3 linked regions of the Saccharomyces cerevisiae S288C genome follow. The gene in region 1 interacts genetically with each later gene. Each region holds a gene or a part of one and is shown on either strand. Other genes may lie near its edges.

Evidence for each region.
Region 2: mutations in YGR016W (region 1) and APA1 together harm fitness more than expected from each alone (negative genetic interaction), as found in Saccharomyces cerevisiae (one large-scale study listed by BioGRID).
Region 3: mutations in YGR016W (region 1) and YCR101C together harm fitness more than expected from each alone (negative genetic interaction), as found in Saccharomyces cerevisiae (one large-scale study listed by BioGRID).

What each region holds. Positions count from the first base shown.
Region 1 is NC_001139.9:520,097-523,333, forward strand, and holds YGR016W (uncharacterized protein), read left to right. Parts: upstream 1-2,164; coding exon 2,165-2,737; downstream 2,738-3,237. Other genes in the region: MSB2 (Msb2p), read left to right, coding at 1-767; EAT1 (putative hydrolase), read right to left, coding at 994-1,980; YGR016C-A (uncharacterized protein), read right to left, coding at 3,150-3,237.
Region 2 is NC_001135.5:37,258-40,858, reverse strand, and holds APA1 (bifunctional AP-4-A phosphorylase/ADP sulfurylase), read left to right. Parts: upstream 1-2,057; coding exon 2,058-3,023; downstream 3,024-3,601. Other genes in the region: YCL049C (uncharacterized protein), read left to right, coding at 135-1,073; LRE1 (Lre1p), read right to left, coding at 3,243-3,601. UniProt on the Saccharomyces cerevisiae protein: Ap4A phosphorylase catalyzes the phosphorolytic degradation of bis(5'-adenosyl) tetraphosphate (Ap4A) into ADP and ATP. Can also use other Np4N' nucleotides (where N and N' stand for A,C,G or U) as substrates with equal efficiency.
Region 3 is NC_001135.5:301,851-305,063, reverse strand, and holds YCR101C (uncharacterized protein), read left to right. Parts: upstream 1-2,033; coding exon 2,034-2,582; downstream 2,583-3,213. Other genes in the region: YCR102C (uncharacterized protein), read left to right, coding at 1-703; EMA35 (Ema35p), read left to right, coding at 2,843-3,213.

The sequences.
Region 1 (3,237 bases):
TACTACAAATAGTGCCATTACAGGATGACTCACTCAACTACTTAGTAAGTGTTGCTGAAGTATACTTTCCAACTGCAGAAATAGAGGAGCTGTCAAATCTAATTACCAACTCTTCAAGCGCTTTTTACACGGATGGAATGGGTACAGCAAAATCTATGGCTGCAATGGTTGATTCCTCAATACCGCTAACGGGCCTCTTACACGATAGTAACAGCAACTCTGGCGGATCTTCGGACGGATCCTCCTCCAGTAATTCGAACTCAGGATCTTCAGGTTCAGGATCTAATTCGAACTCCGGTGTGTCTTCATCTTCCGGAAATTCCTATCAAGATGCCGGTACTTTGGAATATTCATCCAAATCTAACTCCAACGTATCCACTTCTAGCAAATCAAAGAAAAAAATCATTGGTTTAGTTATCGGCGTTGTTGTTGGTGGATGCTTATATATTTTATTCATGATTTTTGCTTTCAAGTATATCATAAGAAGGCGGATTCAAAGTCAAGAAATTATCAAGAACCCAGAAATTTCCAGTATCAGTTCAAGTGAATTTGGTGGAGAGAAAAATTACAATAATGAAAAGAGAATGAGCGTTCAAGAATCCATAACACAATCTATGCGAATTCAAAATTGGATGGATGATAGTTACTATGGTCACGGGTTGACAAATAATGACTCAACTCCAACCAGGCACAATACATCGAGTTCCATACCAAAAATTTCAAGACCAATTGCTAGCCAAAACTCCCTGGGTTGGAACGAAGTTTGATAGCAATGTCTGCAGAGACTTTCTCCGCTTGCATAACCTTATAAACTTATAACGATACCTACTTATTTCATATCTTATGTATAGTTCTCCTTCAAGGAGACGTTGTTTTAATACTTTTATCTATTCCATTTATCATTATCTACTTTGTAATCAAAGATCGAAGCACTGCTGTGTGCGTTGATTTGGGCCTGACACGAGAAGAAAGTGCGTTACGTACATCAAGATTTTATTCAAAATCCAGCGTCTCCTCCGCAAAAAAGTTCAGAATACATTTGAATGAGTCCTCTGGATTCTCCAACAGTAAATTATGCCCAGTATTAAATTCTCGGACATCAGCACAGGGAAAGTTATACCTCAGGAGGGAATAATCATTGTTAATAAAGTTAGACTGCAGGCCTTTCATGAATAAAACTTTACGACTGGCTGTGCCTTTTTGGAAGAAGTCCCTTTGGTTCGATAGATCCGGCCATTTTTTCACTTCATCCAACAGGTTCGGCATGCTGGAGAGAGGCATTGAGTAATTTATATAAGGATCATGCTGTTGTTGTTCATAGTGTAACTGTGCTTGGTGTACATTATTGGATTTTACAGAAAGAAAACCGTTGGCAAAGTAGAGTGCCACAGCTCCACCACATTTCCTCTTATTACATTCCAAACTTTTGAAAAGCTCAAGAACTTTTTTCTGCCAGCTGGGGGAACCTCTTAAAATCTTGACATCTCTGCGGATAATCCGCATTATTAAGTCATAGTTTTGTAATATCATGGGATCTAATTCTGGGGTTTCATAAGGCGGTAAATCAATTGATATACACTTTCGTATATTAATATTCTTGTACAATGTGGTTAATAATGCAATTTTACCACCCATAGAGAATCCCAGTAAATAAATAGGTCTCTCCAAGCCAATATGAGTTTCAATAAAATAAATCAAATCATTGGTCAGTGTAGTGTAGTCATAAGGTATTGCTTTTGGTGAAATGCCATGATTTCTTACATCAACAGAAAAAATATCCGCGTCAAGCTTCCTTGAAAGAAGCTTATTGAGAGAATGAAACATCACGTGTGAGCCCAAAAGGCCATGGATGTTAATAATTGCAGGTCTTTGCTCGAATTTTATTAGCGATGAAACATCTGAGGGTAAACGCGTTCTATGGAATGATAAATCGACAATTATTTTATAAGGTAGCGCTTTATTATGCGCTAGTCTCGACATTTGTAAGCCCTCTTCCCACGGTTCCTTTTATTTTGCAGTTTGTATACGTCTCGACCTTGGCATGAGACAAAAACAGTTTCCCCAAAAGACGCGCTGTGGTATTCAGTAAAGGCTGGTTTCTATGATAGGTTGAGTTTAGAATAATTTTTAAACAGGATACTAAGATAAAGCAAATATTTCAATCATGTCCAGATTAAGAAGATTCAATAGAAAGATCTTAAGCTTGAGTTCTGACTACACTCATGACGGTGAATCTGATCAAGAAGATGTATCCATATTACCATTAGATACAGAAGAGCAGGAAGAACTCATACAAAAATTTGAGACTAATGCTCACATCACAAATAAGCTGTACATAAACCTGTTAAGCATATTGTATTTGCTATATGGCGGACTGCTAATGATACTCGTAAGAAAATCGCGAGGGTATATTAAGTTAGCACTTCTTGCTGGCGCTAATTCTTTGATCTGTTCGTGCATCACACTTAGATATGATATTGTAAACGACTATCTTTTGTTCAAAAAGTTTAAGTTAAGAGTGAGCAATTTTTCTATTAACATAATAAACATTATTTTACTAGTACTTATGGCTTGGATAAGTTTCAATCATGTGGTCGAAGATAAAAAAACGGTGCTCTGTTTGCAAGTTCCAATGTTTTTATTCTGGGTCGCTGTGCTTGTGAAAAGATGGGCTCGAAATATCGAAGATGAAATCGCAGATCTAAGATGCTTGAAATACAAATACAAAAATGCTTAGTTCTATATCGCGACGTATTGTAATATTCATTGGTTAGTATATTCCGGAATATTTATTACTAATATTACAAATTGATTGGTTGGCAGCTCCTTATTTGTGAACAAGGCCAAAAAGTACTGCTACGAGCTTATTCAAGCATACATATATATAGCTTTAATTCCAAAATCATCGTCACAGGAATCTGCTTTAAAATCCAGTAAAAGACTAACCTAGTCAAAGGGGACATAGAATAGCTTACAAGAGGATTCAGTTTGGAGCTAACACTTTCTTCGGAACTTTCCAGCTTCGTACAAAAGTGCAGATACGTTAAAAGATCAGTTTATCCGTATGTTTTGAAAAGGCTATCTAGTGCAGAAGTCTCTAATTTCAATATAATAGCTTGCTAAATAGTCTTCGAGGCGTTGCATATCTATCAAGAAAACAACATGACCAATGTACCTAGAATTATAATTAAGTAGATGATGCCAATGAGGTGAGCGAGCAAAACCATGTCAATTGGA
Region 2 (3,601 bases), on another chromosome or scaffold:
TTTTCGTCTTGCATTCAGATTTAAATAGCTGCTTCTAAATATATACTTTACGCAAGAGGGTCCGGTCCCAATAGGAACCAAGCTATTGCAATTCCAGGGTTCAAGAGAGAAAAATCTGTAATCACTTCGAACCAATGTTTAGTAAATACCTCGTAACTGCATCTTCCCTCTTTGTGGCTTTGACCTCTGCAGCATCTACCGTTGATCTAGATGCTCTGCTTCTTCTACCAGGGGTCGAGTCCCACGACGGCGTTGATACTGTATTTTCGACCAAAGACTTTTATCAAGTGTCATTCGTCAAATCCATTGCTCCTGCTATCGTAAACAGCTCCGTAATCTTCCACGATGTTTCTCGTGGTGTGGCTATGGGCAATGTCAAGAGCAGAGCAAGTATCTTCAACCCAGAGGAAACGTATTACGATTGGGAACAGTACCAAGTAGTAAATAACGGAGACTGGCGAACCGAATGGGCACCTGCCTCTGACTGCATTTGGAGGGAGGAGAAGGATAACAGCGACGAAACACCGGACAGATTCCCCATCTCGGTGCCATATAATTGGACGTCACAGTACTCAATTGTAGATTATGACACAGACGCTAACGAAGACAATTTAGATTTCAGGTTTATTAAATCATTGCTAGATAAGAAAAATTGGTTGAAAAAAATTAACCAGACTGTTTCCCAATCCAGTATTATGGTAGCACCAATGATTAGGCCATACAATGTGGTCCAGCTTTGGTATTCAAAAGATATGGTTTGGGCAAACGTCCAAAGACAATATTGTAGCGGTGTTTATCCAGGAGGGACTCAATGTAGCGCTTGGTCCAGGTACTACCATGTTGATGCACCCACCTGCGATGAGCCTGTCGCCTCTTACATGACCAAAATGTTGGAAAATGAGGTTCAGTGTCCCAATGAGAGAAACGCAACTACCCTAGAGCCTCTCCGCCTGAATAAGCAGGGAGACTCTGATTTTTCTTTGACTTTCGAGGAAGAGGAAGAGGAAGAGACAGGATCTAAATCTCTTTGGAGTACATTGAAAAAAATTTTCTCTAAAAGAAGTATAAGTTGATCTTAGTTGGTAGCACTTTGATGAGGTCTCTAGCAAAAAGTCTACAAACAAATTCTTGAAAGTGTTTGATTGTATATCGATATATCAGAAACATACATATGATTTTTATCTTGTGAATATTCATCAAACTCCGTTTTTAGCCCCCGTGTAAGTTACTTTAATGAGTATTTGATCCTTTTTTTTATTGTGTTGGTTTTTATATGTTTTGTTATGTATTGTTTATTTTCCCTTTAATTTTAGGATATGAAAACAAGAATTTATCAAAGAAAAAAATCTTAGCTTTAAGAACTACAAAGTAAATAAAAAATAATAAATCACACCGGACAGTACATGAAACTGGACATATTTGAGGAATTTCTTTTGAAGAGTTGAGCATTCAAACTGGCCGGTCTTGCTGTGGCCTCAATCCACTTGAGCTCCAAAGAAGGCTCTGAAATGCTTATTTTTTTCAAGCGATACAAAGTAAACAGTTACATACCTGAATGATACTACCACAACTATTTACATTATCGTCCTGTCAAAAGGCGAATAATCAGAACTGTTTGTTAACATGTCATTTTATAAGAGCGGCCTGAAATACTGTCATAAGTGGTCTGTCGAAAGTAGTTATTACGGCGTCGGGCGTCGCGAATAGCTCAAAAGTCACCCCAGCTTACACGATATTCCCATAACCTACAGCAAGAAGCTATTCTTGGATACAAGCACCAGTTACAAGCACTGCATTCATATATTGCCTTTTACTTTCCTATTCTGTATTTGTGTGCTAAGTGTCCTGTTTCGGAACGTTCTAGAAGATTTTCTTATTTTTCTCTTTTTCAGTTTTTTTTTCATCACGCAAAGGAAATACAATACAAGGTTAAAATGAAGGAACTAACATTACTATTATTTCCAATTTAAAGTTTACCTTAAAAGACAATAGATTGATCTTGAAAGCCAGTTTAGATAGATTTTAGAACAAACAGAAAAGTAAAAATTAAAATAAAAATGAGTATCCCCGCTGACATTGCATCTTTAATTAGTGACAAGTACAAAAGTGCCTTCGATAATGGTAACTTAAAATTTATCCAGACTGAAACAACGAAAACAAAGGACCCAAAAACCAGCATGCCATACTTGATTAGTCACATGCCAAGTCTGATCGAAAAGCCAGAGCGTGGCCAAACTCCAGAAGGAGAGGATCCACTAGGCAAACCTGAGGAAGAATTAACGGTTATCCCAGAATTTGGTGGTGCCGATAACAAAGCGTATAAATTGCTATTAAACAAATTCCCTGTAATCCCTGAACACACTTTATTGGTAACTAACGAATACCAACATCAAACTGATGCCTTGACCCCAACCGATTTATTGACTGCTTATAAGTTGCTGTGTGCCTTGGACAATGAAGAATCCGACAAGAGACACATGGTCTTTTACAATTCTGGTCCAGCCAGTGGTTCTTCATTGGACCACAAACATTTGCAAATTCTGCAAATGCCTGAAAAGTTCGTCACTTTCCAAGATAGACTATGTAATGGTAAAGAACATTTCCTACCAACTTTCAATACTGAACCTTTGCAAGATGCTAAAGTCTCGTTCGCTCATTTTGTCTTGCCAATGCCGGAGTCTGAAGAAACTGTTGATGAAGACCTATTAGCTATGTGTTACATCTCCATATTGCAAAGAGCTTTGACCTTTTTCCAGGACTGGTTGAACGAAAATCCAGAACTAAAGAAATCCTACAATCTTATGTTAACCAAGGAATGGATCTGTGTCGTTCCACGCTCGAAGGCCTTTTCTGATGAAATGAAGATAGGTTTCAACTCCACAGGTTATTGTGGTATGATCTTAACCAAAAATGATGAAGTTTTCTCCAAGATTACTGAAAAACCTGAATTGATTAACGATATCTTATTGGAATGTGGTTTCCCAAACACTTCTGGTCAAAAACCAAACGAATACAACTATTGAGTCCTTCACAAGTACAAGTATACACGTATACATGTATGTATATATATGTATTTAAATGATAGAAGTAATTTCTATATGTATATGTCTATTCAATTTTTATTTCTGATGACTTTGAAATTTTATATTTATTATTCTACACTTTATTATTAAAACTACATGCAATCAATGCCGTTAAGGTTACGATTCACCTTTTTATTACTTATTATTAATATTGTTGTATTACTTCCTTGAAAAAATATGTCTAAAGAGTCCTAATTTGGATTTTCTTTTCCTCCTAACTTCACTGTCCTGCGCCTGCTTTCCTAACGCATCATCGCTAATACACCAGCTTTCATTGCTTGTTGCTGCGCTGTTGCTCGCATGGAACGTTTTCAGTGCGTCATCATCCTGGGATAAACTAAAGACTAAGTCACCAGTTTCATTTGAGGCTTTTCTCTGCGCGTTGACAAAAGAGGACAGATCAACCATATCACCTGGTTCACCCATGAGAATGTCCTTACTTAGTTGCGAATTGGTTCTGATCTGCCCTTCAGACTTGGAATATTCATTACTGTCATTACTTTTAAGCCTATTCATTT
Region 3 (3,213 bases), on another chromosome or scaffold:
AGCCACTATCCCAGTGTCACTGACCACAGCTGGCTTGGTGTTGACCTATAACTTGGGCTTGAACCTGAAGTGGGAGCCATCAACCCCACAAAGAAACGGCCCCATCTTATTATGGGGCGGTGCAACTGCAGTAGGTCAGTCGCTCATCCAATTAGCCAATAAATTGAATGGCTTCACCAAGATCATTGTTGTGGCTTCTCGGAAACACGAAAAACTGTTGAAAGAATATGGTGCTGATCAACTATTTGATTACCATGATATTGACGTGGTAGAACAAATTAAACACAAGTACAACAATATCTCGTATTTAGTCGACTGTGTCGCGAATCAAAATACGCTTCAACAAGTGTACAAATGTGCGGCCGATAAACAGGATGCTACCGTTGTCGAATTAACTAATTTGACAGAAGAAAACGTCAAAAAGGAGAATAGGAGGCAAAATGTCACTATTGACAGAACAAGACTGTATTCAATAGGCGGCCATGAAGTACCATTTGGTGGCATTACTTTCCCTGCTGACCCAGAAGCCAGGAGAGCTGCCACCGAATTCGTCAAGTTCATCAATCCAAAGATTAGTGATGGGCAAATTCACCATATTCCAGCAAGGGTCTATAAGAACGGGCTTTACGATGTTCCTCGTATCCTGGAAGACATTAAAATCGGTAAGAACTCTGGTGAAAAACTAGTTGCCGTATTAAACTAGATGACGAACAGATATTATTTTTCTTTTGTATACACAGTTATTACGTATGTTAGAGTGACTTGGTTTTTTTTTTTTTAATGAAATTGTTTGTTATTGATCACGCCTTGTAGGGGAAACAGATGAGAACAGTGAAAATCATAACTCATTATGTGATTTGTTGTGCGTCACCCTTCCATGATTATATATCCTTACTATCTACTATCCAACTACTACATATCTATTGAACTCATATGTACCAAGCACATAAAATTATGCACCTATTTCCATTGGCAAAGACTTGGCGAAATTTAATACACTGTAATAATATCCGGCGAAGCTCTTTAAGAATTCTTACCTATAATAGCGGCTCGCTGTCCGAACGATTGCGCCGCACTTTTCTGCCTCTTACATTCCCTTTTCCTAAGGCGATAAGCAGGCTGAATGGAAACTACGATATAACGCAGTAGAGGTCCCCCAAGAGCTGGAAAGAAAATATTGGTTTGATAGCCAGCACTATTCTATCCAGTGGGCTCTTGTACCATTTTCTGTGGTATGGCTTTGATTCAACTGCATACGTAGTTAACGCGATCAGCCGCACATGGGCATTATCATTTTCAGGGGTACTGGTAAACCCTATTGTTTAGAAAGAATACCTGGTAAGCGGGTCTGTCGAGTCTTTCCCACTAATTTTGAAGAAAAAATCTTTACCTAGTTTGAGAATAATCGTGGCGTTCGTAACATCACGAGGTGAGAGAGACCAGTTAGGTAAGGGTATGCCAATAAAAGGTTATTGATACTTCAACGAATCTTCATATTAAAAGTGCCTTCACCAGAATAAAATTCTAACGTCATCCTAAAAAGCATCAATTGGACATAGTGAGGGAAAGTTTTCACCATTTAAAATCTATTCTGCAGAATACCATTCTAGACTATGATCCCTTAAAGATTCCCATTCTTTAAATATACAAATCAGGTTCAACAGCGTATCTTTATGGTATTATCGTACTACTGGCGACATTAGCAAATCCAAGTATCCTAACTAGGTTTCTAGTCTTATCTCTTGGTTTTCTCCATTAGATGGTAAACACGTTACCTTGATGGCTGTACAGGAAGTGAACATGGTCAACTCAAAGTCACCGGACTCAAAATAATTGCAATTACCTAGACTGGATATTTTTAGAATATTATGAGAATATTTTTAGAATACTTGCAACCCAAAATATATTTAAATGCCGCCAATTTGCAACCAAAAGATTATCCGCTACCTTTTTTTTAGTCATTGAATTGTAGCATAAAGTTCCGAGCTTTGAAAAAAAACTTTGAACTAAGAAAAGGTAAGAGATCCTCAATTATGATATTACTTCATGCCATATATACTCTTTGGGTAATTATACTACTTCCGCTACTCAATGCAGAGAAATTTGTCCCAAAAGTAACGGAGGCTCCTATAGAAACATCATTTAATCTAGTGAGTTTTGATGATTCCAACACTTCTATCAGATTAGATGGTTGGGGGGTTGTATGGATAAGTTTCGACGCTGGAGAAAATTGGGAAACGGTCAAAGAAATTGAAGAGCGCATTTTCAGATTTACTGTTGATCCTTTCCATGGACAGGAAAGAGGTTTCGCTTTTATATGTGAATCACCCAAATTCTACATTACCGACGACCGTGGGGAGTCATGGAGGGCTTTAACTATACCCTCATCAGAAGAATATTTAGATGGCGACTGTTTTATAACTACTCATCCTAGAAACAAAGAACTTCTTATTGCGAATTGCTATAGCTATATGATAGACGCAGACGTTTTATATGACCCAAGTGAAATTTACTTGAGCAATGATGGGAATCCTTTTTTAAAATTAAACCTTCCTTGGAAAAGAAAAAAGACGACGATATAACAACTTAAAGCTGTCATTTCATTAAGTCTAGCAAGGATTCTGACTTTACTGGTAATGATACTTCGATACTCTGTTTGTTCTCTAACCGTGAATACGATGAAGAATATCGCTTAACTGCTACCTACACACAGTTGGCTTTCAGTAGTGATGGAGGCAAAACGTTTAAAGATTTTGATGAATTTAAAGATAAGATTGTTACTCAATACAAGATATTGAAGTCATATGTGGTCGTTTTAACGCAAGATGACGGGCATAACGAGATGTCATCTACGGACATCTGGATATCCAATGATGCATCTACTTTTCAAAAGGCACAGCTGCCTACTCAATTACGGCACGTCAAAGTGATTAAAATTCGTGAAGATTCTATCGGAAGGATCATCCTTCTTATATCGACAGAAATCACAAATGAGGAAAATGCTGATCCAGATCTCTCAGAGATTTTCATATCAGATTCGCAAGGGTTGAAATTCTCACCTGTTGAATGGACACCAAACCATCAGTTTGGAAATTTTAGGCTCACTTTTCCTGATTTCTTGAAAGGGACAATATTTGGATCGTTTCATCCTTCCATTGACTATTCTAATCACCAAGTAAACTATACTGAAAATATAGCCGGAGGAGAAACCAA